Sus scrofa: one gene and its partners. The protein of the gene in region 1 purifies or fractionates together with the protein of each later gene. This does not show direct contact. Links are inferred from orthologs where the notes say so. Each region holds a gene or a part of one and is shown in the gene's direction. Other genes may lie near its edges.

What was found.
Region 2: the proteins of CUL5 (region 1) and COPS8 purify together in Homo sapiens (affinity purification with mass spectrometry; 3 studies listed by BioGRID and IntAct, with this or other methods). This does not show direct contact. The link is inferred for Sus scrofa from reciprocal best matches to the Homo sapiens genes CUL5 and COPS8.
Region 3: the proteins of CUL5 (region 1) and WSB2 purify together in Homo sapiens (affinity purification with mass spectrometry; 3 studies listed by BioGRID and IntAct, counting the BioPlex papers as one, with this or other methods). This does not show direct contact. The link is inferred for Sus scrofa from reciprocal best matches to the Homo sapiens genes CUL5 and WSB2.
Region 4: the proteins of CUL5 (region 1) and COPS7A purify together in Homo sapiens (affinity purification with mass spectrometry; 3 studies listed by BioGRID and IntAct, with this or other methods). This does not show direct contact. The link is inferred for Sus scrofa from reciprocal best matches to the Homo sapiens genes CUL5 and COPS7A.
Region 5: the proteins of CUL5 (region 1) and ASB6 purify together in Homo sapiens (affinity purification with mass spectrometry; 6 studies listed by BioGRID and IntAct, counting the BioPlex papers as one, with this or other methods). This does not show direct contact. The link is inferred for Sus scrofa from reciprocal best matches to the Homo sapiens genes CUL5 and ASB6.
Region 6: the proteins of CUL5 (region 1) and ASB13 purify together in Homo sapiens (affinity purification with mass spectrometry; 4 studies listed by BioGRID and IntAct, counting the BioPlex papers as one, with this or other methods). This does not show direct contact. The link is inferred for Sus scrofa from reciprocal best matches to the Homo sapiens genes CUL5 and ASB13.
Region 7: the proteins of CUL5 (region 1) and RAB40C purify together in Homo sapiens (affinity purification with mass spectrometry; 5 studies listed by BioGRID and IntAct, counting the BioPlex papers as one, with this or other methods). This does not show direct contact. The link is inferred for Sus scrofa from reciprocal best matches to the Homo sapiens genes CUL5 and RAB40C.

What each region holds. Positions count from the first base shown.
Region 1 is NC_010451.4:36,450,806-36,454,305, forward strand, and holds part of CUL5 (cullin-5), read left to right. Parts: intron 1-826; coding exon 827-1,003; intron 1,004-2,723; coding exon 2,724-2,865; intron 2,866-3,500. UniProt on the Homo sapiens protein: Core component of multiple cullin-5-RING E3 ubiquitin-protein ligase complexes (ECS complexes, also named CRL5 complexes), which mediate the ubiquitination and subsequent proteasomal degradation of target proteins.
Region 2 is NC_010457.5:136,826,994-136,831,021, forward strand, and holds the start of COPS8 (COP9 signalosome complex subunit 8), read left to right. Parts: upstream 1-1,228; 5' UTR 1,229-1,369; coding exon 1,370-1,447; intron 1,448-2,429; coding exon 2,430-2,500; intron 2,501-3,636; coding exon 3,637-3,685; intron 3,686-4,028. UniProt on the Homo sapiens protein: Component of the COP9 signalosome complex (CSN), a complex involved in various cellular and developmental processes.
Region 3 is NC_010456.5:34,608,152-34,612,329, forward strand, and holds the start of WSB2 (WD repeat and SOCS box-containing protein 2), read left to right. Parts: upstream 1-1,378; 5' UTR 1,379-1,533; coding exon 1,534-1,582; intron 1,583-4,178. UniProt on the Homo sapiens protein: May be a substrate-recognition component of a SCF-like ECS (Elongin-Cullin-SOCS-box protein) E3 ubiquitin ligase complex which mediates the ubiquitination and subsequent proteasomal degradation of target proteins.
Region 4 is NC_010447.5:63,972,257-63,974,470, reverse strand, and holds part of COPS7A (COP9 signalosome complex subunit 7a), read left to right. Parts: intron 1-7; coding exon 8-96; intron 97-1,737; coding exon 1,738-1,940; intron 1,941-2,214.
Region 5 is NC_010443.5:269,831,407-269,835,562, reverse strand, and holds the start of ASB6 (ankyrin repeat and SOCS box protein 6), read left to right. Parts: upstream 1-1,356; 5' UTR 1,357-1,434; coding exon 1,435-1,547; intron 1,548-2,548; coding exon 2,549-2,730; intron 2,731-4,130; coding exon 4,131-4,156. UniProt on the Homo sapiens protein: Probable substrate-recognition component of a SCF-like ECS (Elongin-Cullin-SOCS-box protein) E3 ubiquitin-protein ligase complex which mediates the ubiquitination and subsequent proteasomal degradation of target proteins.
Region 6 is NC_010452.4:65,285,464-65,288,963, forward strand, and holds part of ASB13 (ankyrin repeat and SOCS box protein 13), read left to right. Parts: intron 1-873; exon of another isoform or gene 874-1,237; coding exon of another isoform or gene 1,238-1,771; intron 1,772-2,442; coding exon 2,443-2,566; intron 2,567-3,500. Other genes in the region: uncharacterized protein LOC106505208, read right to left, coding at 1,238-1,771. UniProt on the Homo sapiens protein: May be a substrate-recognition component of a SCF-like ECS (Elongin-Cullin-SOCS-box protein) E3 ubiquitin-protein ligase complex which mediates the ubiquitination and subsequent proteasomal degradation of target proteins.
Region 7 is NC_010445.4:41,157,297-41,161,385, reverse strand, and holds the start of RAB40C (ras-related protein Rab-40C), read left to right. Parts: upstream 1-1,289; 5' UTR 1,290-1,478; coding exon of another isoform or gene 1,479-1,512; intron 1,513-1,552; exon of another isoform or gene 1,553-1,669; intron 1,670-2,242; 5' UTR 2,243-2,319; coding exon 2,320-2,461; intron 2,462-4,089. UniProt on the Homo sapiens protein: RAB40C small GTPase acts as substrate-recognition component of the ECS(RAB40C) E3 ubiquitin ligase complex which mediates the ubiquitination and subsequent proteasomal degradation of target proteins.

The sequences.
Region 1 (3,500 bases):
TTATAGGTTGTTAGATTTGTTGATATTTGTAATATCCTCTTACGATCCTTTGTATATCTGTGGTATCAGATGTAATGTCTCGTCTTTCATTTCTGATTTTATATGAGTCCCCTCTTTTTTATTGTTGGTGAGTGTGCACAAATTTTTTGTAAACTTTTTTCTTTTGTACATGTATATTTCATTATTTATGATAGCCAAAAGTTAGAAATAACCCAAATATTCATCATTGGACGAATAGATAAGCAAAATGCGGTATATCCATAAAATGGAATAGTATTTAGAGATAAAAAGGAACGAAGTACTGACATACTACAACTTGGATGAGCCCTGAAAATACTATGTCATGTGGAAAAAGTCAGTCATAGAAGTCTATATATTACATGACTTTTATACGAAAGTCCCAAATTGGCAAATATATAGACACAGAAAATAGATTAATGGTTGCTTAGGCCTGGGTGGGGAGGGGAGAGCCAGAAGGGGAAAGAATAGGAAAATAGTAGCCAAATGACATAGGATTTTTTAATTTATGTGTAATTGACATACAAGGTTTTATTGTTTCAGATTACAACATGATTCAATATATGCATATATTGAGAAATGTTCATCACAATAAGACTATATGAACATGTTTTAATTTCTCATGGATATATATACATTTGTTGTTTGACTTCTCTGTCATAAATGGATTTACCAAAAATGTTTTAATTTCTTTTGGTATAATACAGATTGTACAGTAAATAAAATATTTTAAATATATGGCTTGAATATGTTTTTAATCTTTAAAGTACTTATTTAAAATTGGTGCAATTCTTTTTTTTTTTTTCAGCGAGTATTGAGCCATCAAGATGACACAGCTTTACTAAAAGCTTATATTGTTGAATGGCGAAAATTCTTTACACAGTGTGATATTTTACCGAAGCCTTTTTGTCAGCTAGAGATTACTTTAATGGGTAAACAGGGCAGCAATAAAAAATCAAATGTAGAAGACAGTATTGTTCGAAAGGTAAGTCAAGTTCCTCATTTTTCCCTAATGTTCTTCAGCAATAGGGTGAGTTGAAAACTTTTCAGGAATAATGTACACTTAAATGGGTTTTTCTGCTTCACATATAAATTCCTTTTCAGCTCCTCTTGGGTTTATTGAATAATGTTAATTTTATTTCATCTATTTTTAGCTTCAGTTCCCTTTCATCTTTTATGTGGTCTTAAGCTGTAGATCTGTGTCTTCAGAGAGTACCTCCTTTGCATTTCCTTTTCCTTTCTGCTTTTCCTGGTTTTATCTTTAGTATTCTTTTTCCTTATTCTTTTTTTTTTTTTTTTTTTAGGGCCATATTATTGGCATATAGAAGTTCTCAGGCTAGAGGTTGAATTGGAGCCGATGCCACAGCTACAGCAATGCAGGATCTGAGCTGCATTTGCAGCCTATTCCACAGCACATGGCAATGCCGGATCCTTAATCCTCTGAGTAAGGCCAAGGCCATGCCCTCGTGGGTGCTAGTTGGGTTCGTTAGTCTGAGCTATGACGGGAACTCCTTATTTCCTTATTCTTTCTTTGCACTTTTTCCTTCCTATAAATTAAATTACTTTTTTTTCTATTCAAAAAAAATCTTCCTTTATGAGGAAGATACCTCCAGGTATCTCTATATTTAATTGTGACTAAACTGTTGTCATCTTTCTTTTTTTCTTGATTCTAGTTAATAAACTCAATATGTACTATGTTAATTTTCATGTTTTACATAGTTTTTAGTTAAAAGCTCTGTTAACAACTAATTAATAGAAAGAAATTGAAGAGTCCCAAGTTTCACTTTTCAACTCATCAGTCAATAATGATCTAGTCATGCTGGCCTCATTTATCATATGTGTGTATGTATTCCTACTTGTGAGAACCAAATGGAACCACAGCTTTTAAAAGTAAAAAATGCCATTCGAACTTAAAACAACTCACTGCTTGCTGTGATGACTCTAGCAGCCAACTCAGTCACTCAGGTAGTGGCCTGGAAGCTGTTGCCCCTTCTTGGCCTTAACATTTGTACTAATATGGACAGCACACTCATTAATATGTGTATGCTATTTTCATCATTTAAATAAAACATTTGTAAGGTGGTTTTTTTTTTTTTGGTTTGTTTTTTTTTTTGGCTGTGCCTGTGACACACCAAAGTTCCTGGGCTAGGGATGGAACCTGCACCATAGCAGTGACCTAAGCCACTGTAGTAACAATGCCAGATCCTTAGCCTGCTGTGCCAAAGGGGAACCCTATTCTTTTCTTTCTACAATTCAGTGTCAAACATATTTTCAATTTTTCCTTTTCACATTTATCATGTTTGTACAAATATACATATGAGCATTCCAAACATGTATCCATATTTCTGAAATTCAACCTTGGAACTATAGGGAAAGTAACATATTCCATGTATAACTATATTTAATTTTTACAACAACCATTTGAGATTTGTATTGTTAATTTCACTGTTTTATAGATGAGAAAGCAGGTAAATAACAGCTGGAATTCAAATCCTGTTATGTTTGATGCAGAAACACTTCTTTACCATTATTTACCATGTTACTTACCAACTTTATATATACTACTTTCCTATAGTATTCAGTTGAATGTAGGTCTAAGAATTTTATTTCCTTTTTTAGTGTTTGTACTTAAAATTTTTGTATATATGTAGTATTTGGTATATTAATAATTGAAACAATCACACATTTTGTTCTCTTTTTCCTAGCTCATGCTTGATACGTGGAATGAGTCAATCTTTTCAAATATAAAAAACAGACTACAAGATAGTGCAATGAAGCTGGTACATGCTGAAAGATTAGGGGAAGCTTTTGATTCTCAGCTTGTCATTGGAGTAAGAGAATCCTATGGTATGTTCTGAACTTTTATGATCAAATTTCTTTTTCATGGAAATTCTAAGACAATTACAGAATAGTGCTATTGATGTTATGTTTATTAGCATATAGTCACATCTGCTTTTAGTGCCACATGCTTTTAAGAGTACACAAATTGTATCTTGCTTTAATGAAACTTAGAAGAATTCAAATTCATGTGGTTAATATTTTATTTTCTTCATTACACTAATTTCTTGGCTAGTTAATCTTTTTAGCAACCTAGATTAGAGAAATGTAGATTTGAATCTATAGCTTGTAAGTGGTATCTGGTTTTGTACTTATATTTCAGATATGTTAATAACATGAGTATATTCCTCTCCAGACTTCGGTGTCTGCCAGTGATATTTTCATTTGTTCATTCAATCAAATGTGCCTTTGTCTTCTTTTTTTTTTTTTTTTTTTTTTTTTTTTTTTGTCTTTTTGCCATTTCTTGGGCCGTTCCCGCGGCATATGGAGGTTCCCAGGCTAGGGGTCGAATTGGAGCCGTAGTTGCCAGCCTACACCAGAGCCACAGCAACTCGGGATCCAAGCTGTGTCTGCGACCTATACCACAGCTCACGGCAACGCCGGATCCTTAACCCACTCAGCAAGGGCAGGGACCAAACCCGCAA
Region 2 (4,028 bases), on another chromosome or scaffold:
AGTGCTTTTCTTATCTCTATGTTCTATCTGAAGCATAACTAAACACAACCATTTCCACATGGAAAGTGTTGATTCTACAAAAATAATCAGTGAAACCGTCACTGTCTTGGAATCCTAAATAATTTTATCTTCGAGTATGGGTTTGGCAAGTCCATAGGGAGGACAGACACTCAAAGAGATGATTGAGGTATGCGTTTTCTGCCCTCCACAGTGTTTAAAATACCCCATGAATGCAGAATTCCCAGTCGACCCCAAATGATAGGAATTCAGCAAGACCCAGCTTAAGTACAAACAAAGTGTTACGTCTACCAATTGTGTGATTTCTGTGATTCCACATGAGTTAAATGCACTTATATTCGCCTTTAAAATTGGCTTCGTATAATATAAAGACAGATGGTAAGATGCATGCTAATAATTGAAATTTTTGCTTTTTCCCTTTCTTAGAATATTAAATAGCAAACTTTAGAATGCTATGAAAAGTTGAAACACTGCGGAATAAGGGAAAAGCTTTAGATTCTATAGCCTTTACGGGTAATTTCCCTTCTGCTTTTTGAACTAGTGATGTGCGTTTTCAATTTGCTTTGGGCTCACAAATCCTGCGGCTGACCCTGCAGCAGGGCGGCCTAGGCAAGGGCAGCAAACCAAAGTATAAATAAATAACGCACCATACAACGTTCGTTAGGACTGCGCAGAAAACTGAGGAGGCCAGGATGGCTGGAGCAAGTCGGAGGGATCTGGGGATTTGATCTGTGAGCGATGCCAAAGACTCTGGATTGTTAGGGATTTGAGCAGAAGAATAACAAGACGACTTAGGTTTCAAAAAGCATCATTTTGGCTGCGGTGGCTGTCCGGGAGTAGCCTGGAGGGAGGCGGAGTGAGGTCCGGAGAGGACCGAGCTCAGGCCCTGTCGGGTGGTCCACGCTGGCGCAGCCGCTCTCGGATGGGGGGCCTGCAGGAGGGGAGCCCCCAGGAAGGACCGCACCGCCTGCACCGAAGCGGGAGGGCTGCTGAAGGAGGAGGCGGGGGGAGGAACCGAAAGCTGGGTTTTGAACTTTAAAATTTCCGTGGCCTCAGAGTAAAGGCAGCGAAGAGTCCGCAGACCGGCCCCAGTCCCCGCCCTCCCTGGCTCCGAAAGCCGCGTCCCCAGACGCCAGGCGAGTCCTCCAGGACATAGAGTGCACGGGCCAGAGCGGCAGCGACCCCGCCAGGCCGCAGCGACGTCTAATGACGCGCCGGAACCGATGATGCGCCTGCGCACGGGAGCTCGGCGGCGACGGCGGCTTTTACGTCATCGCGGGCGCGACGCCCGGAGGGACAAGTCTGGGGTCCAGCTAGAAGGGGAGGTACGGCGGCGGGACCGGCCGGGAAGATGCCAGTGGCGGTGATGGCGGAAAGTGCCTTTAATTTCAAAAAGTTGCTGGATCAGTGCGAGAACCAGGAGCTGGAGGTAGCCATTCGCCTTTCGGGGTCGCGCGTGGCCTTGTGCGGCGCCGGTCTCCAGGGTAACGGGGCCCGAGGCCCAGGGCCCGCCGGGCTGGGGCGGGCGCGGGGCCGGGCGTGTGGAGCCCGGGACGCCGGGCCTGCTCCTGGCTGAGCATCCAGGCCTCGCCTCCCCGAACTTGCTGGGGGCTTTTTGTTGTTTTGTCTTCAGCCAGTGAGCCCGAAAATGCTGTGCGTCTTTGCTCCTAACACTCTCCAATATGCTTCTCGGGTTAAAGATGTTTCCTCCCCGTCGTGGGGAGAGGTGAGGGAGTCTGTGTGCGCGTTGTAGCCTGTTCCTAACTCGGAAAGTCCTTAGTCTCATGTCGCGGAAGCTTGCCGTCTTAGCTTCATTAGGACTGGTGAAATTATTTCACGAAGGTCTTAACAGTAAGGGTTTTTTTTTTTTTTTTAATTTTCTTAGAAAGGCACTTACAAGCATGTACAGTATCAGTATAAAAAGTTAATTAACCCAAAGAGACTACTGCCAGAAGCAGCAGCTCACTAATAGACACTTAACAGATGATTTTCTGAATAAAGTTGAACAAGGAGAGAAACGTCTTCGTCATTCAGCTGTGACATTTCTCTCTTCGTTACTCACTTACCTAGATTTTCAACATACCTGGTGTAACGGGCAGAATCATCATACTTGAGGAATCTGTGGGAAATACTCTTGTAACAGTAAGGCCATTTAAATAAGAATTTGAGAACTGGGAAAGGGATCCCACTGAAATGTTCCCGTGCATATATAAACTCAGTGGCCCAGAGGGAGATAATTCATAGCTGGTGACAGATCTAAACTTATCACTCTGGCTTTTAGTGTGTGACACTCTCTTTTTCTCCATCTGTAAGGGTAAGTACTATGAAATATGCTTACTTTTTAGATGCTTTGAAAAATACAAAAGTATACAAATAAATGAGCTTTTTCTCTTTTGTTTTTGGCTTTAAAGGCTCCAGGAGGAATTGCTACACCTCCAGTGTATGGTCAGCTTCTAGCTTTATATCTGCTCCATAATGACATGTAAGTACTTTCTACCTAAAGCTAAGAGAAACAGCTTCCTGAAGAAATTATTCTTGCGTTGAAGTAGCATCACTAAAACATAGACAGAAGGAGCTTTACATTTTATTGTAATAGTATATTTATTTCATATACTGAATCATGGCTTAAATCGTGATTAGGCTGAGTTAAAATGCACTTCTTTTCTTATATCTTTCTTAAAATTTTTCAATCTGTTACGATGAACTACAGTGTCAGTAAATTCCTTTAAATCTGTTAGTCTCTTCTCTTTTGTTTTGTTATGAAATGTCTGTCTTTTATGACCTGTTTACTTAATGTCACATGTGATCGATAGACTAAGAGAAACCGAAAGGGAAAATTGAGAGAGCTAAGAGGAATTTGTTACTGTCATGTATGCGATTTCTTGAAAGGTTTTGTTTTTAATTATTCCTCATTCACGTTCATTGAAGACAAGTCAGTATAACTGCGCAAAAAAGAGTCCTTATGTTCTGAAAGCCATGATTACTGTTCAGTTTTGTTTTAAAATTCTTGTAAACCTTCTTATTTGGCATCTTTTAAACTAAACTGAGATTTTTATTACTCATCTATTGTATAAATTATGTTTCTTGTTTTATAATCATGTCATTATATGTTTGTTATCGTTCAAGATTCCAAACTCTTAAAAAAAAAAAAAAAAAAAAGAAACCAAAAAATCCTGCCTTGAAGGTGTGGTGGCTCTGTAGCCACTGGTAGGAGGAAGGGTCATGAGATGGAGAAAAGCACTGTGTACCTGTATACTGTCAGGGAACAGCAGTGCCTTGAAAGTGTATGAATCTGTTTATTTTTATATATGACTAAATTATTTAGGTAGTCCTCTTTAAGTCTTTGTACTGTAACCTTAATTTAAGATCTGGATTATTAATTTAAAAATTCACTAAAAATGGCAAAATGTTACTTTGGTAAAATATTTCATGTCTTTTTATCTGGGAAACCGCTCTCATTTCACCTGGACAAAGTCATGTACAACTAAATTTCACCCTGTTTAACGTAGAGTATTTCAGAGTATACTTGTGTGTGTTTGCAGTGGGATCTAGAATTTTAGACATTTACTAGGATGATTTTTCTAAATTGCTTCTTCTTTCTTGGGGGATATAAATTAGGAATAATGCAAGATACCTTTGGAAAAGAATACCACCCGCTATAAAGTCGGTAAGTACTCTTGTGATGAATCTTACTACTTTACTGTAGTAATGACATTCACTTAAAAAGCAGTTTCAGCGAGTTCCCCTTGTGGCTCAGCGGTCGCGTATCCGACCAGCATCCATGAGGGCACGGGTTTGATCCCTGGCCTTGCTCGGTGGGTTAAGGATCCAGCGCTGCCATGAGCTGTGACATGGGTCAAAGACGGGCTCGGATCCTGTGTGGCTGTAGCTGTGGTGTAGGCCGGCAGCTGCAGCTCTGATTCGTCCCCTAGCCTGGAACCTCCATAGGCCTCAGGTGTGCCCCCCAACCCCCCAAAAGCAGTGTCTTACGAATTCTCTTGTGACTCAGC
Region 3 (4,178 bases), on another chromosome or scaffold:
TCTCGATTCTTCCGATCCCCGGTGTCTTCAGGTCCTCCTTCCTGCCTGCTCGCCCCTCCGTTTTACCTGATTCCCATCCCTTTCCACGCTGCCCCATCACCCTCAGTTTCCTCCTCAGCTCTCCAGTGCCTTTCCGTAGTCCCTCCCTCGTTTTCCCCTCAGCCCCGCCGTACATCCCCTTTTTTGTTACCCACACCTCCCTCGATCTTCAGTCTTTACCAGACGCGTGTCACTCCCCTCCCACTCTGTTCCTCCCAACTCTCCCCCAACCGGGTTCTACCCCATCCCTGCGATCTCCCTGAGCCTGGCTCCTCCCAGGTTTACCGGTGTACCCTCCGCCCCCTGTTTCTCCCCCCACCATTTTCTCCTCCAGCTCGTTTCCCCTCAGCCCCGCTCCCCGACCCTCCCCTCGATTTTTTTCCTGCCCCAGTTCACCTGCCCGCCCCAACCCCGTTTTTTCCTCCAGCAACCCCCGCCTCTTCCCGGGTTAGATCCACTCCACACCCCCCAACCCCGTTTTCCTCGTTCCTTCCCTATCTTCCTATCAGACCCACTCCCCCTCCCCGCGCCGATCCCGTCGGCCTCCATCTGCCCCCCCTTTCCCGTCAGCCCGGCTCCCCCGCCCAGGGCCGAACCCTCCTGCTTCCACCTGCCCGCCCCCGCTCTTCCCGCAGCTGGCTCCAGGGTTTTCTCCCGCCCGCCCCCAGCCCCGCCCCCGCGCGTCCCCGCCCGCGCCCGCCGCCATGTGACGGGAAGCAGCTGATGGCCTCTCCGGGCGGCGGCGGGCGCGGCGGCGGCTGCAGGGCCGGGGCCGGGGCCGGGGCCGGGGCCGGGGCCGGGGCGGGGGCGGGTGGCGCGGCGGCGGCATGAGGGCCGGTGGCCCTGGGGGCTGAGGCGCCCGCCGCCTGCCGCGGGCCGCGCATGTCCTTCATGGAGGCCGGAGGTGAGTGGGGGCCGTGGCGCGCGTTCCCCGCCGACGGAGCCGGGCCCGTTCCCGGGGGTGGGGCGCGGGCGCGGATTCGGTCGGGGCGGGGGCGGCGGAGGCGCGGGGCCTGGGCTGTCCGCGTCTCCTGGGCGGGGTGCGCGCCCGGCGCCCAGCTTTGTTTCGCTTTCGCTGTCAGAGGCCGCCACCCCGTCTCCTGCCGCCGACTGGACCGGAGGAGGACGGGCCTCTGCGTGGCGCGGCTTCCCACCCCCCTGGCACAGTGGGGGGCGCCGGGATCCCGACGCCTCGGTCCGAGTGGGACGTGGGGAGTGATACCCGAGGATGTGGGTGCCCAGGTGCCAGGTGACGCGCTGTAGGTCTGGATGAGAGTCCGCTCTGCCCCTTCCAAGCGGTGTGCCTGTGGACAAGCCACTTAATCCAAGTCCGTTTTGTATCTACAAAATGGGCTAATAATAGTATCTGCCTTAGGGGGTGGTTGGGGGCTTCCCAAACTTGCATAAAAATGGGGTCTGGGGTCCGTATTGAAAAAATATATTGTGAGCCTCTCCCAGTAGAGACTGATTCGTCGAGGTGGGGGTGGAACTGGGATGCTGATCCCTGGTGACACGGATGATGGGACAAGTTTAGGAAACACCGGTGAGTGAGGTGCTTACCTCTATTCTTGTTAACAGCTGTCATCAGAAAGCGGTATCAAAGTTAGAGAATATTGGATACCCTCGCAGGGTCAGCCCAAATGAAAGAACAGTCTCAGTGGGGATGGTGTACTTGTTATGCAAAGGCACGCCCTTCAGGCTTTTTCCTTCCAACCACATTACCCCTAAACCCCACTAATATAGAAATTTGGGGTGGGCTTGTGATTTATTCTGGGAGTTCCAGCTCTTGAATACTCCCGTGCTTAAAGGCAAAGTTTCTTTAGGGGAAATCCTCAGAAGGGGTCAGGCCTGGGCTCAGGATTTGTTCCAGAAACCCTTTTAATTCTTCCAGTGAAGTTCAAGCTTCATCTTGATCTGGAGGATTCTGATTGTGGATGTCTGTGTTTTTCCCTGGCTTGTTTGATGGAGGGGGGATGGTAGGTTGAAATCGGGGTATTCCCTGGGGTGGTGTTAACTTTTTAATTTGGGAAATGACATTTCTTTGTTTGCTGGAGTCAGGCATTCAGTGCTAGGTGCAGAGGTAGTTCTCTCAGCCTTCCTATCTAGATAAGGGCTTTCTTTTCAGTGAGCGTGTTACCCATAGAACTTTTTAAATGGCCCCTACTGTTTGCCTGAAATCTTTGAATCTTTTTATAGCTTCCGCTGTCATTCCATTGACTCCTTTTAGTTATATCTGAAAGTGATATGGAGCTAGCCTCCCTTTTTAGCAGGAATCTGTTTCCAGTTCTGGGTTTTTCCTCATGATTGATGACTGTGTTTTGGGATGTGGGCAGAATTGTTGAGAGCTGCCAAGCTACGGTTTAAAAAAAAAAAGGGCCAAGTTCTTTTGAAACTGAATAAAGCCCATTGTAATGGGATCACAATGGACAACAGTTAGATATCTTCAGAGCAGTGGTTAGAATGTATTTATTCATTCAGATATTTATTGAGTATCTACTATGTGCCAGGCACTCCCTAGGCCAACACTGGCCAATAGCAATATATTGTGAGCCACTATAGGCAATTTGAAATGTTGTGGTAGCTGCATTTAAAAAAAATTGAAACCGGGAGTTTCCGTTGTGGCTCAATGGAAATGATCCAGACTAGTAACCATGAGGACATGGGTTCGATCCTTGCCTCGCTCGGAGCCATGAGCTGTGGTGTAGGTCACAGACGTGGCTCAGATCTGGTGTTGCTGTGGCTGTGGTAGGCTGGCAGCTGTAGCTCCCATTCGACCCCTAGCCTGGGAACTTCCATATGCCACAGGTGCAGTGCTAAAAAAAAATTTTTAAAAATTGAAACAGTTGAAAGTAATTTTAAAATTATCTTTGTCAATTCAGCATATATGAAATATCATTTCAACATGTAGTGATTAATTATTGAAAATTTTTAGATTTTTGTTTTTGTACTAAGTTTGAAATACAGTGTGTCTTATGTACCAAATGGCCCATCTTAATTTGGACTTGCCACATTTCAAAAGGTCAGTCACCATGTGTGGCTAGTGGTTACTGTACTGGATAGCGCAGCCCAATAGCAGTGAACAGTTTGGAGTGAGGGAGGGGAAGAGAGAAACAGCAATTGCATAAAAACAAGTAAGCAATCAAGCAAAAGATGGGGGAGTTCCTGTCGTGGCTCAGTGGTTAATGAATCTGACTAGGAACCAGTTCATTTGTGGGTTCCATCCCTGGTCTTGCTCCGTGGGTTAAGGATCCGGCGTTGCCATGAGCTGTGGTGTAGGTTGCAGACATGGCTTGGATCCCGCGTTGCTGTGGCTCTGGCGTAGGCTGGTGGCTACAGCTCCGATTCGACCCCTAACCTGGGAACCTCCATATGCCGTGGGAAGTGGCCCTAGAAAAAGGCAGAAAGACAAAAAAAAAAAAAAAAAAAAAAAAAAAGATGGGTGAGTGATGGTTATAAAGAAAATTCAACAGAGCAAAGGGAAAGTGACTAGGCCACTTTGGGTAGTGAGGCCAGGAAGGTCTTTGAGAAGATGACGTCAGCACCAAGGCCTAAATGGTAAGACATAGCAACCCAGCAAAGACCTAGGGCAGCCAGGTAAAGTTTTTAGGCCGATGGATTCTGGGGCAGGACAGTCCCAAGCTTACCGCCAGCTGCAGTCATCATAGCTTCCATCCTATGTTAAGATGATTCTCCTTTCACAGAAGAAGCCCATAGCAAGTATCTTTCCACTTGGCCTGATTATCCAAACATATCCCAATGTTCAGTTAGTCCGCTTTGATCCACAGACCTTTTCACTGAGAAAGACCAGGGGCAGACACAATTCCAGATGAAGCTGGATCCTCTTGCCTCTGGTTTATTGTTTGTTTGTTTTTAAAGTTCTGCACTAATTATGGCTTCTCTTTTCCAGCAGCCAAGTTTAGCTTGGGCCCAGATTCCCCTTCAGAATTTCCTTAGTTCCTTAGCATTTTTCTTCTTTTAGTTCTTGGATTCCAGAGCCTGAAATAGCAGGAGATTATATCCCCAAGTCACAGAAATAGAGTGTGAAATCTGGGTATGGCTTATGTTTAAGAAGCATTTCATGTGAAATGTTTGGCAGAGGCATCGTGATAGTCTAAGGGGCTTCCTTTCATTTCTGTTAT
Region 4 (2,214 bases), on another chromosome or scaffold:
TTTCTAGCTGAAGCCCGGAATCTTCCCCCACTCACAGAGGCTCAGAAGAATAAGCTTAGACACCTGTCAGTTGTCACCCTGGCTGCCAAGGTCAAGGTGAGTGACAGACCCCCCAGTCCTGAGCCAGGGAGCACTTTTTTGTGTCGGCTTCACAAGGGCCCATCTGAAGGGAATTGCACTGGGACAGCTTTGACCACAGTGGTGCTTCTTCCTGTTTCCCCACATTCCTCCAAGGTCTGTGTCTTACTCTGATACCTGTGGCCCTTTAGGTGGAACGTTATTCTCCCAGCTTTCTATTTTGTTTTTCTTTTTTTTTTTTTTTTTTTATTGCTTTTTATGGCCACACCCACGGCATATGGAGGTTCCCAGGTGAGGGGTCGAAGCAGAGCTACAGCTGCCTGCCTGTGCCACAGCCGCAGCAGTGCAGGATCCGAGCAACATCTGTGACCTGCACCACAGCTTATGGCAACGCTGGATCCTTAACCCACTGGGCAAGGCCAGGGATCGAACCCACAACCTCTTGGTTACTAGTCAGATTCATTTCTGCTGTGGCACAACCAGAACTCCTCTATTTTGTTTTTCAACCCACTTATGTTCTAAGTAAAACATCTTTTGTGTGTCAGGTCAGAATAGCAGCTAGGATGCCACTCACTGTGTTATTCCTCAGCCCATTCCTCCCACTGTATGAAGTCCGTGGAAGCAGCTGCAGTGGCCAGAGCTGGGACACACTCGCTCCTGGTGACGTAGCAGGCTTCTATTTGCTTGAATAAAAAATACATAACCCAGAAGCATCTTTGTATTTCCTGTTGGGTTCCATTCTTGTTAACTGTTTGCCCATCTGCATCTCCCAGTTGTTCCCTGACTCTCCCATCATCCCCATGGTTTGGCTTAAATCAGGCTCACTGCCTCTTTGGAAGGAGACCGTGTATAAATGATAAACAGAAGAGCTCCAGCCTCTCCTCCACCACAGCGTCCCGTAGGTCAAGCTCGTCTTGACCACATCCGTGTACTGTCCTGAGCTGAGCCAGAGGGTTGACACCCAGGCAGATGTCACCCTGTGGTGGGCTGGGCATTGAGGGGAGCATAAATGTTTTCCTTAAGATTGTCCTTTTTGGAGTTCTCCAGTAGCCTTGCAGGGTAAGAATCAGGCGTTGCCAGTGCTGAGGTTTGGTTCCCTGCTGTGTCTCGGGTTTGATCCCTGGCCCAGGAACTTCCCCATGGTGTGGGTGTGCCTGAAAAAAAAGTTGCAGAAAGGAAAATAATATTAAAAAAAAAAGTTCCCATTGTGGCTCAGTGGCATAAGAACCTGACATAGTGTCTGTGAGGATGCAGGTTCAACCCCTGGCCATGCTCAGTGGGTTAAGGATTTGGCGTTGCCACAAGCTGCTGTGTAGGTCGCAGATGCGGCACGGATCCGGGGTTGCTGTGGCTGTGGTGTAGGCTGACAGCTGCAGCTCTGATTTGCCCCCTAGCCTGGAAACCTCTGTGCCACAGGTGGGGCCGTCAAAAAAGACAACAACAGTCATAAATACATAAATGTGAACGATTCTCTTTCTTAGGATGTTATTTATCAGGTGGGAATACTTTCATTTATTTTGCCTTAGAACCTGCCTTTTACGGAAAGTGATTGAGGAGGAGGACTGGAGGGCGGGCAGTGGGGGAAGGAGGGAAGAAGAATCTTGGAAGCCCTTCTCTGTGCGGAACCTCACAGACCGCAGCCCGACCTCCGGGCCCCAGTGTATCCCATATGCAGTGCTGCTGGAGGCCCTGGCCCTGCGGAACGTGCGGCAGCTGGAGGACCTGGTCATCGAGGCCGTGTACGCCGACGTGCTTCGCGGCTCCCTGGACCAGCGCAACCAGCGGCTGGAGGTTGACTACAGCATCGGGCGGGACATCCAGCGCCAGGACCTCAGTGCCATTGCCCGAACCCTGCAGGAGTGGTGAGACCTGGGTCCCGGCACTGTCCCTCCTCTGCTGGCCCCAAGAAGGGAGGGCTGCTTTGGTGGAGGCCGGGGGTGGGGGGGGGGGGTGGCTGGGCGGCAGAGGCACCCCCCAGGAGCCTGAAGAGGAACTGGGAGGAGGAAGGGGGGGTCCTCTTGAGGGGATCCTCCCTGGGGGGTGGGCCAGGCAGGATGCAGTATGACCAGCGCTGTCCACAGGCCTTGGGCCTCTCTCACTTCTGTTTTCTCTGTGTTCTTATCTGACTTGGGTTCG
Region 5 (4,156 bases), on another chromosome or scaffold:
CCCTGTTCGGTCCCCATAGCCGGACTGAGGACGCTTTGGATTGGGCTTTCTTGCTAAGACTGTTCGGCTCTTGGGGGCAGGGGAGCCCTTTTCTACTCATTTTTTATGTTTAATCATAGACACATGCGGTTGGCTTTAAACTTGTCTCTAAACGTTTTCTACTTTCCTCAACAGCTCTGGTCTCTGGCAGGTGCTGGACAGGAGAGGCTCCTGAGTCCACATGGGAAGGGGTGGGGGCTGGTGAGACCCAAGCTGCCATGTGAACGGCTGGGACTGGCACACCTCTTCATAACGGGCTTTCCAGAATCATGAGGTCATCAGGGGCGTTCCCGTTGTGGCCCAGTGGAAAACGAATCCGACTAGGAAGCATGAGGTTGTGGGTTTGATCCCTGGCCTCACTCCGTGGGTTACGGATCTAGCATCACCGTGAGCTGTGGTGTAGGTCACAGACACGGCTTGGGTCTGGAGTTGCTGTGGCTGTGGTGTAGGCCTGCTCCAATTTGACCCCTAGCCTGAGAACCTGCGGGTGCAGCCCTAAAAAGCAGGGGGGACAAAAGTGAAGTCATCAGGGCTCCCCTGTGGGCCTCGAGGTTGCAGAGGTTAAATGTGAGGCCCAGGGGTAGATACCTAAACTCCAGAAAAGTACCCCAGGCCCGGTCCCCTTCCTGCTAGGCTACACTTCCACCCACAGTAACAGAGCTCTTGGTCTAGGATCTTGCATGGGTTTGATTATCCCCATTTCACAGATGAAGAAATTAAAGTTCATTGAGTCCATCAAGGCAGAGAAAGGGGAAGAAGCCCCCAGCTGGCAGGGAGAGGAGCTTCCAGGGGACAGAGGCTAAGGAATTGCCCCATCGCCCGTCAGGGTGGATGTGGTCCAGTCGGCGGGGGCGGGGGGGGGGGGGGGGCAAGAGCCAGGCCAAGCCGCGGTCTGACCCAAGCTCAGGGGGGCCAGGGGACACCTGGAGTTCGAGACCCCTCCACTGCCGCAGAGAGTTGGGCAGGGGTCCGGCCGCTGTGCGCAACGGGCGGAGTTCGGACGGCGCCCAGCGGCCGCGGGCGGGATCGCAGGGTGGAGCCAGGCCGGACCGGGAAAGGGCGGGCCAGCGAAGGGCTGGGATCCCGGTGGACTGCAGGTCGGCGCCCTCCATTCTCCAGGGACCCCCGCCGCACAAGATACCCCCAAATCGCGCTCCCGAAGGCGCTCGGTCCTCCCGGACGGCAGAGGGCGCTGTCACCCCGACTCTCTTTCCTGGGCCGGAGGGACCGGAAGTGCAAGTGCGAGAGTCACTTCCGGCGCGGAGCAGCGGGTTGGGCTGTGTATGAGGCCGGGTTCGGGGACTGGACCAGTAGTGGCCAAACCTGGCCAAGACCGCGGCTGCCGGAACGCTCGCAGTCGGCGTCTCGGCCTCAGCGGAGGGTGCGGCCGCCGCAATGCCGTTCCTGCACGGCTTCCGGAGGATCATCTTCGAGTACCAGCCGCTGGTGGACGCGATTCTGGGCTCCTTGGGGATCCAGGACCCTGAGCGGCAGGAACCCCTGGACGGGTAACTCGCTCCCTGCCCCCCTCCGACTCGGCACTGCTCCCCCTTCATTGTCACGACAAACATGGCGGGGCGGGCGGTGTCCCCACCTAACAGATGAGACCGAGACGCGCTGGGGGAAGGGTGCTCCGGGCCAGCGCCCGGAGGGCTGGAGGGTGCGGTGTTTGCAGGGCCTTCGCCTCAGGGCCCCACCCTGCACCCTGCCTGTCATGTGCCCTCCACCTGGAGTTGCAGGGCAGCCGGGTGGCATCTGTGAGCAGTGCGAAGTGAGCTTTCTGTAGCCGAGTTTGCAATTGTACATCCAGGCGCGGGTCTATCCGTGAATCTCTGGGAAGGGTGTTAGAAAGTGAATCGTTTGCGGTACATCAGTGAGCTAAACAAACTCCCAGCCTTCACGATGCTTATGCTCCAGAAAAGAGAGACTGACAATCGTTAGTAAAGTGTTTAATGCCTTAGGTGGAACAGAGGAAAGAGGGATCAGGTGTCTGTTTCTGGGATCAGCTGGAATTGGCGGGGAAGCTGGGTGGGTTGGGGCAAAGGTGCAGAAGGCTTTGCTGCTCTCAGCCTTTGGAAGACGGGGAGGCTGACTGACTTTGGGTGTGAGCAGGCAGGAAGTCTGCTGACTGCCCTGGGCTGGTCCCGCAGTGTCTGGTTCTCACTCTTGGCCACAAGGGTTCCCTTCAGTGCCAACAGTCCAGGTGTATGAGGCTTTGTATCCATGCCAGGGGCCAGATTCTCTGGGCAACATGGAAGGAGGCCGAAGACAACCCCTGTCCTTTCTTGGTAAACCCGAGGCATCTGCTCCAGTAGAAGGATCCAGCTTGGCCCTCTCTCTGCCACAGACCTTTTCTGAAGAGACTTTCTGCCCTGCCTTGGGGGAGTGATTTGGGGGGAGACGGGGGGAATGACATCAGGAGACCAAAGGCCACCCACCCACAGGGTGCCCAGCCAGCTGGTCCCACAGCTGTTCCCACCCTCAACTAGTCCCCCCTCTCCTGCCCCAGACCCAGTTATGTCGCGAGTGAGGAGAGCCGGATCCTTGTTCTCACTGAGCTGCTGGAGAGAAAGGCCCACTCTCCCTTCTACCAGGAAGGCGTGAGCAACGCCCTGCTGAAGATGGCCGAGCTGGGGCTGACCCGTGCCGCTGACGTTCTCCTGCGGAATGGAGCCAACCTCAACTTTGAAGGTCAGCTGGAGCCCAGAGGACCTGGGGTGATAGGTGGCTTAAGTGTGGCCCTGCTCTGGATGGGCGACCAAGCCTTCAGGCTTTTCTCAGGAGCTACTTGCCTCATTTATTTATTTCATGGGTGGTGACCAAGGACAGCCACACTGGGTGGCCTCCCGTCCCCTTGTGGGCTTTCAAGTGGCCCTTAGCCACCTCAAGTCCAAGAGCGAGTTTGTCGCTGTTTCTACCATGAGATTGACTTAGCAGACTCCTCCCAGCTCCCAGCTAAATCGCTTCCATTAATGTGAAAAAGTGGCTGCTGGCACTGTGCCCAGAGCTAAGTAAGGAAAAGTAATTTTCTGCCACTCATTCTGAGGCATCTTGCATTTTTGTTCCTGTCATAGGGAGAGGGGAAAACGGAGAAGACACATTAAGCATAAATCACAGCAGAACCATGCTGGCATCTAGCTTGTGTGCTGGGGGATGGAGACGGGGCCATTTTCGGGGGGGGGAGGTCAGCCAGGAGACTTGCAGACCCTGACTTATAGCCACAGGGGTTTATTTATTTATTTTTTTTTCTTTTTAGGGCTGCACCCGTGGCATATGGAAGTTCCCAGGCTAGAGGTCAAATCAGAGCTTTAGCTGCGGGCCTATGCCACAGCCCCAGCAACGTGGGATCTGAGCCAAGTCTGCGACCTGCAGCTCACAGCGATGCCGGATCCCTAACCCACTGAGCGAGGCCAGGGATCAAACCCTCATCCTCATGGATCCTAGTTGGGATCATTAAAAACTGAGGTTCCCCCGACACGGGGGGGGTTTCATGGTGACACAGGATGTGGCCAGGATGTCCCCCCTCCCCGGCGTAGGACAGGCTCTGAGGCTGCTGGGCTCCTGGAGGTTCAGAGAGCTGGGGTGGGGGAGGGATTTCCCTGGTAGTCCAGTGGTCAAGATTTGGCTTTTCCACCACCGTGGCCTGGGTTCAGTTCCTGGACTTGGAACTGAGATCCCACATCACAGTGACCATTAAAAAAAAAAGGAAAAAAAAGTAGCTGAGGGGGCCAGGGTGGTGGGGTGCATTCTGAAGTCAGTCGCTTGGAGACCCAGCTTGGAGAACCTGGTTTTTATCGCAGGGCTGAAGGAGCTGTCACTCTGAGTGTTCTGCCCAGCAAACCCGTTTTGGGTCCCATTTTACAGAAGAAGAAACCAAAGCCCAGATGTAGCACCATGTCCGTTAGAAGGCCCCCAAGACCTAGGCCTGACTCCAGAGCCTGGGCTCTAGCACCGGCTGAGGGCAGCTGTGTCCTGCCCCCTGGTGGTGGCGGGAGCCCGGGCCTCCTTCCATCAGTGTCCCAGAGGTGCTGGGACCTGTGAGAATGTGCTGTCGGGCAGGCAGGGCTGACTGGCTGCGTCTGCGCCTTCAGACCCGGTCACCTACTACACGGCTCTG
Region 6 (3,500 bases), on another chromosome or scaffold:
CAAACAAATGATCTGAGCACATTTGCCAGGCCGCACGCTGTGGCAGGTGCTGGGAACAGAGGCGAGCAAACCACGCCCAGCAAGTCACTGCAGCCCTGCCTGTCCTGTCACGCTTTCCTGATGGGCCCGGCCAAGGACGGGTCTTGCTTCTAAGATCCTGTAACTTGGCGTGTTCCTCCAGTGTTACAGTTGCGTTGTTTTGAATTATTTGCCCACCCCCACCCATGGCCGTGAACTGCTCCTTGTCCCATCCAGTTGTCCTTGTGCACAACGGCGGCGGCGGCGGCAGCAGTGGCTGCTGAATGGATGCTGAGGGGAAACGCCCAGCCCGGGCCCCCTCCTTCCTGCGGATGCTGGGTTTGCCCTGTTCTCCTCTTTGTAGGGCTGGAGGCGCTCCATCTGCCCTTGGGGCTTTGCTCCCCTCGGACTGACCTTAAAGCCACTTTCCACTCCCTCCCCCCACCCCACCCCCAGGCCGGAGGGCAGCTGTTCATCACTACAGGGGAGACACCCTAGGTCCTCTCCTTGGGGCAGCAAACAGGAGGTGCCCCAAGCTTGGCTTCTACATTCTGTGGGAGTCAGACCTTCCTCCACCTCGAGTCCTCCCTTCAGCTCCCTGGCCCGTGACCCCCCCCCCATGGGGTCACACAGATGGTACAACAAGGGGCAAAAAAGACCCCAGATAGACCCCACTTCCTGAGTTTGTGCTGGCCTGATGCTTAGTGCCTTTAATTTGATTTTTTTTTTTTTAGGGCCACACCTGCAGCACATGGAGGTTCCTAGGCTAGGAGTTGAATCGGAGCTACAGCTGCTAGCCTACACAATCGCCACAGCAACACGGGATCCGAGCCGCATCTGTGACCCCCATCACAGCTCACAGTAACACTGGATCCTTAAGCCACTGAGCGAGGCCAGGGATTGAACCCACGTCCTCATAGATAACTAGTTGGGTTCTTGACCTGCTGAGCCATGACAGGAACTCCCACTGAATTTCCATAACCCGGTGGTGAATGAACGGTATCACTATCCCACTTCACACGCTAGTTCTCGCCCAAGCTGAGACATGGCTGCGCTGGTTCTCGGACCCGAGCCGGCTGGCCCTGGAGGACCCTGAGCCCCACACCACTCCGCTCCCCTGCAGGCTGGGCGGCTGCGGGATGGCTGGGGGGACGGGGTCTCAGGAGGGACCGACATCCACACGGAACCCAGGAGGCTATCAACCGCCCAGGAAATAAATTCACCCGGGACAAGGTTCACACAGCGCTGTGGCTAAGACCTGGGACCTCTGGCCGAGGGGAAGGAGTTTGAGCGACAGGGACATAGAATGCAGCACTAATACAAGGAAAGGCGTATCCTGAGAGGGGTGTGTTGTGATGCCGTCTGGGGGGCCTTGCCGGGAAGGATGTGTCAGCATAGCCCGGCTCTGCTGCCACTTACGGCGTTTGAAGGGTGCCAGGAAGGCTGCCCTGCAGCCCAGCTGCTCTGACAGGGGCTGAGACGTTCGCTGTGCAAATGTAGTTTGGGTTCGGGGAGTCTGCACGCGGGGTTCGTGCGCACCTGGCCGAGCCGGTGAAGGAACCTCAAGCTCGCAGCACAGGGAGCCAGGGCTCGGGGCTCCGGGCCCCAGGGGCAGTGACTCACCTGGTGCTTCTCGTCTGTCTTCAGGTCCCAGCTCAACTCCCGGCCCCATCCGGGGAGGCGGGAAGGCTGTGTCCAGCCGGGAGCCCCTCAGCACTCGCCCCACGTATTCGCTGGCCTTGGGTCCGACGTTCTACGGGAAATGGGAATCTGTGATCAGCTTAGGCTGCTGGTCTGGGTGGGTGGGTGGCTCTGGGAACCCCGACAGTGACCACTCTCTAGTCCACTTCCGCCGTGCGGTGGGCAGCAGGTGTGGACTGTGGCACAGTAGGGCCTGGTGGGGACAAACGGCGGCCCCTCGGGGCACAGACGATGGTCGAACTCAGCGTGGGCAGGGCTGAGATGGGGCAAGGCTGTCTGCAAAACTGACTAGATTTCAGCCAGGAAAGGAACAAGTAGGTGTTATTTAGGACGAGAGGGAGGGGGACAAGGGGGATGGGGAGAGAGGCCAGAGGTGGGGAGGAGGGATGTCTGAAGCCATGGTTCTCAAAGTGTGGTTCCCAGACCGGCTGCATCAGCATCGTCTGGGCGCTTGTTAGAAATTCACATGCCTCACACCTGTCAGAATGGCCATCGTTAGAAAGTCTACAAATGACACGTGCTGGAGGGGGTGTGCAGCAAGGGGAACCCGCTGCACTGCTGGTGGGAATGTAAATTGGTACAATCACTGTGGAAAACAGCATGGAGGTTCCTGAGAAAACTATATATAGAACGACCGTACGACCCCGCAGTCCCACTCATGGGCATATATCCGGACAAAACTTTCTTTGAAAACGACACATGCCCCCTGCATGTTCGTTGCAGCACTATTCACAACAGCCAAGACATGGAAACAACCCAAATGTCCATCGACACACGACTGGATTAGGAAGATGTGGTGTATACACACATGTCCTCCGGGGCTTTTCCCTGCGCAAACACATCCCTGGTATGTGCCCCGATCTCTTCTCATAAGGACACTGGTCAGACTGGATTAGCGCCCAACCTGATGGGCCTGGCTCTAACTTAATTACTTTTGTGAAGGTCCCATCTCCAAATACAGCCACATTTTGAGATGTTTGGGGTTAGGGCTTCAACATGGGAATTTTGGCCGGGGGAGGGGCGGGAGGAGACGCAGTTCGGTTCATAACCAACTGTATGCCGACAAATTAGATAAAGTAGATGAAGTGGACAAATTCCTAAAAAGACACCACGAGCTACCCAAACTGACTCAAAAAACAAAGAAAAAATTAGAACGTCTGGGAGGACGTGTAACAAATGAAGAGCTTGGATTAGTAATTTAAAAACCTAAAAGAAAGCCCAGGCCCACTCAGATGAATTTGACCCAAGAGTTAAAGATTTAATACCAGTTCTTCATAAACTCTTCCAAAAATTCGAGACTACTTCCCAACTCATTCTCTGAGGCCAGTATTACACGGATACCCAAACTGGACACATACAAAAACCACAGGAAAAATGACCCTTAGGAATATAGACTCAGAAATCCTCAAAATATGCACAAACCGAATCTAGCATCACATGAAAAGATTATACACCATAACCAGGTGGAATTTCTCCCAGGACTGCACAGTAGGTTTAACATCTGAAAATCAACCCGTGCAGTACACCCCTGAGATAGAATTAGTGAAAGAAAGCGGGCACAATCATTGCAATAGATGCAGAGAAAAGTACTTAACGAAATCCAACACCCTCTCATGATGAAAACACTCAACACACGAGACACTGGAGAACTTCTTTGGCCTGATAAAGGGCTCTGTGAAAACCCACAGCTCACAAGACGCTTCGTGGTGAAGGAATGAAAGCTTTTGTTCCAGGACCAGGAACAAGGCCAGGAGGTGCCTCCCAGCCCTGCCACTCCATGT
Region 7 (4,089 bases), on another chromosome or scaffold:
GTTGGTGGATATTTGGGTTGTTTCCACTTCTTGGCTATTGTGATTAATGACGCTGTGAACAGTCACGCACAAGCTTTGTTTTTTTTTTTTTTTCTTCTTAGGGCGATACCCACAGCATATGGAGGTTCCCAGGCTAGTGGCTGAATAGGAGCCACAGCAATGCAGGATCTGAGCCATGCCTGTGACCTACACCACAGCTCACGGCAACACCGGATCCTTAACCCACTGAGCAAGGCCAGGGATCGAACCCACAACCTCATGGATCCTAGTCGGATTCTTTTCCGCTGTGCCGCAAGGGGAACTCCTAGAGTGAAATTCTTTATTTTTTAATCCAAAAAAATTTTATGGCCACACCTGTGGCACATGGAAGTTCCTGGGCCAGGGACTGAATCTGAGCCACAGCTGTGAGCTGCAGCAGTGCGGGATCTTTCGCCCATTGTGCCAGTTTGGGGATCAAACCCATTCCTCCCCAGAGACCCAAGCAGCTGCAATCAGATTCTTAACCCCCTGTGGGAACTCCAACAGTGAAATTCATGAGCTTGTTTTTGAGAACTTCTCCCGACTAAATGAAATATGGAATTACTTACTAAGTTGTCCAACCTCCCTGCCAGAGAGCTGTCACCCTACATCCTAGGTGCCACAAGTAATGTTGCCAATCTAATGGGTGAAGAGGGTATATTTTGCTTTACTTTCTATTTTGCAGAATAAAATTGTATCTTCACAACTGTTCACACCTTTTCATAACCTATCCATTCTGTAAACAACCCAAAGTCACTTCCTCCTACAGGCTCCCCCGGACCCTCTTCCTGGGCCCTCCTGGGTGCCCCACCTGGCCTGACCCCGACTCTTCCCAGGGTGGGCGGCTCACAGCCAGTGCTGCCGTCGTCTCTGGGGCTAGAGGACGACATGCAGGCCGACCCCCTTTCTGCAGCGGCCTTGAGAGCCGCGCTGTCACCTGCAAGACTTGCCCAGGGAACGGGGCAGACGCGAGGGGCGGGGACAGAGCTGCGCTGGAGTCCCCGCCTCGCCGCCTGCAACCAAGCCTCACCTCGCTGCCCCTGCGCCCCGACCCAGGTAATTCCAAGTTCCTGCCACCGCCTCATTTCACCGTCCCTACCCTCGCGCCCTGCCTCGTCTCCCCGCCCCTCACCCGCGCCCCCACTCACCACCTTCCCCACAAGAAACCCGGCGCCCGCCCCCACCTCACCATCCCCCGGCCCCGCCCCCGGCGCGGGAACGGAAGTCCCGTCTACCCGGCCGCTCCGAGCGCCGATTGGTGGATCTTGTCTCACTGCGCCCTCGTCACGCCCCCTCCGTGGGGAGGGCGCCTTTCCGGGGGGCCGCACTGTACGCGCCCGGGTCTCTGCGGAAGCTGCGGCCGCAGCTTTCTAGGAGGTTCAGCCCTGCCATAGTCACCCGCGTCACCTCACAACGGGGACCGCCACCGTCCCGCTCAGTCCGCGGAAGTAAGGGGGTGTATGCAAACAACCTGGAGGTCCAAGCTTCTGATTGGTGAGCGTATAGGGGGCAAGATGGGCGGGCTTAGAGGGCCATGAGCGACGTGTAGGTGGTCCAGTAGCTCTGGGAGGATCGGCTGCGGTGGCCAATGGCGAAGCGGAGGGGGCGTGTTAGGGCCCAGGAGCTGCGGGGGCAGTGGGCAGGTTTGCCGGTGAGTCTCGGATGCTCTGCGGGAATCGGCGGGGGGTGGGGGGCGTAATGCTGACGGACAGGCAGGCGGATCAGAGGGTCCCGGAAAGCGAGAGGCGAGGGGCCAATGGCAACAGCGTGAAGGCGGGGCGGGGCGACTGGAGTCTTCGCAGAACTGAGTGGGAAGCGATGGAGGCGGGGCAGCTTTGATGGACGTGCTCACGGGCCAGTGGCCGCGCGGGAGGCGGCGTGCGACGTACAGCAGCAGCGTAGGGGCGGGGCAATGATGGGGAGGAACGACCCGAGGTCTCGCAGCGCTGTATGGGAAGCTGGGGGGGCGGGGGCAGGGGCGCTAGCAGTGCTGACGGATATGCGCAGCGGCCAATGGCCGCGGGAAGGGTGCGGCGGACGACCAATGGTGGCGCGCGGGGCGGGGCGGGGTGGCGGGGCTGCTCGGCGCCGTGCGGGAAGCTGCGGGGCGGCGGCGGCGGCGCTGAGGCGAGGCGAAGGGAAGCGAAGCGGGGGCGGTGGAGCAGGTGCGGGCGGAGCGGCCTTGCCGTCCGCCGGCCTCGCTCACCCGCGCCCGCGCACGCAGGTCGGTCGGAGGCCTCCGCCAGCGGGCTCCGCGGCGCCGTGGGCATGCGGGTGCGGCCCGCGCGCGCGTGAGCGAAGATGGGGACGCAGGGCAGCCCAGTCAAGAGCTACGACTACCTGCTCAAGTTCCTGCTGGTGGGCGACAGCGACGTGGGCAAGGGCGAGATCCTGGAGAGCCTGCAGGACGGCGCAGCCGAGTCTCCGTACGCCTACAGCAACGGTAAGGCCGGCCGGCGGGCCGCCGCGCGCACCTGGCTCCGCCCGGCGACCTGCCGTCCGCCTCGCGTCTCGGGCCGGGGCGGGGGAGCTGCGGCTCGAGCTTGTCGAGGCCCTTCTGGGGCCCGCGGCGTCGTGGGGGCAGAGATCTGGCCGAGGGACTCCTGAGGAAGAAGGGCTTTTTCTTTGGTCGCGGGGCCTCACCAGGTGTGCCAGGTGTGCACAGCTGGGCGTCCTCAAAGCAGGCCGTTGGCTCAAGGCATCCCTTCCTTGGGCTGGACGAAAACGCCCGATCCGGACGGGGTTAAACGTTCTTTCCACGTTTCTGGCCGTGCAGCCAAAACACACAAGAGCTACAGGTCTCTGGCACCAGTGTGAGGTCCTCTCTTTTCTCGCAGTTGACGTGGGTCCCCCGGGGGGCCGTCGGGCTCCTGGAAGGGCCGTCTTTGCGAGGAGTTTTACTCCTTGGAGTCCGGTCTTCCGCCTCCTCTGTAGCTTTGTCGCTCAGAGTCTGGTCAGTCCTGCCTGACTGCTGTGAGCCTTCGCTGCTTGCTGAATTCCTGGGCTCTGGCCGCCAGCGTGTGGCCAGTGCTTCTTGACCCTTTCTCCCCTTAGGACGCGTCAGAGTCGTCGGCTTACCTGGGCCGGCCCTGCGCCCTTCCTGCTAAGCACGGAGCGAGGGGCAGGGGTCTGGAGGGCCCAGCCCACCGGAGCGCTGGGTGGTGTTGTAGGGAGGGCGAGGAAGTGTGAGGCCCCCAAGGGTGTGAGAGGGAGGCCTTGGGGGGCTGAGTCGGTCCCTTGCCCGCCACAGTCAAGCGGTCCTCTGGAGTCAGACGGGGGGTGGGCGCCTGAGCTGCTTTCCCAGAGATGGGGATGCTTTGAAGGGGGGCTGGGCTCCATCAGGGCCTCAGCGGCTTCCCAGGACGAGGACTCCTGGGTCTGAGCTGCCTCCAGCCGGGCGCAGCGAGGCAGCTGGAGCGAGTGGCCCGGCCTCCTGTCCCTGCTCTCGGGGGCAGTGTGCTGCCGCTCTTCTCGTGACGTGTTGAGTCCCGCCCGAGGAGAAGCACGGTGGTCCAGCGGGAGGGCCAGCTGCCAGAAGTGTGCGGAAGCCCCTGGGCTGGCAGGGCGGCGAGGGTCCTGGAGGTTACGATGTGTGGCACATGCAGTCAGGGCGTCAGCTCGGAGGCTCCGGGGCCAGTGCCCTTTCTCAGGGCGAGGTGGGTGGGTCTGAGGGTACTTCATTCTGCTGCCCTGAAGGCTTCCTAACTGGAGCAGTTAGTTCTCAGCGTTCGGCGCATCTCGAATTTGCTTTGTGTTTTTGGGGAGCTTTTGATCTCTGATTCCCTTGTGGCAGATGCGTGTATCTTTTTCTTTCCTTGTTAAGAGTCAGTACATCTCCGAGCTTCTTGTGCTTGGCTTAACCTTTCGGGGTCAGTCTGGCCAGGAGCAGATGACCAGTGGCAGGGAGGTCCCTTCCCATTGAAGGGCGTGTATCCAACACCCTTCCTTGGGCCAGGCAAGTTATTTCTCGCATTGAAGTCTTGCCTCACCTGTTCCGCAGCAGGTACCTGGGACACCTGACTCTCCCCAGCCTCGTAGACACAGGAGTCGTTGCATGGCCTTTTATCGTGT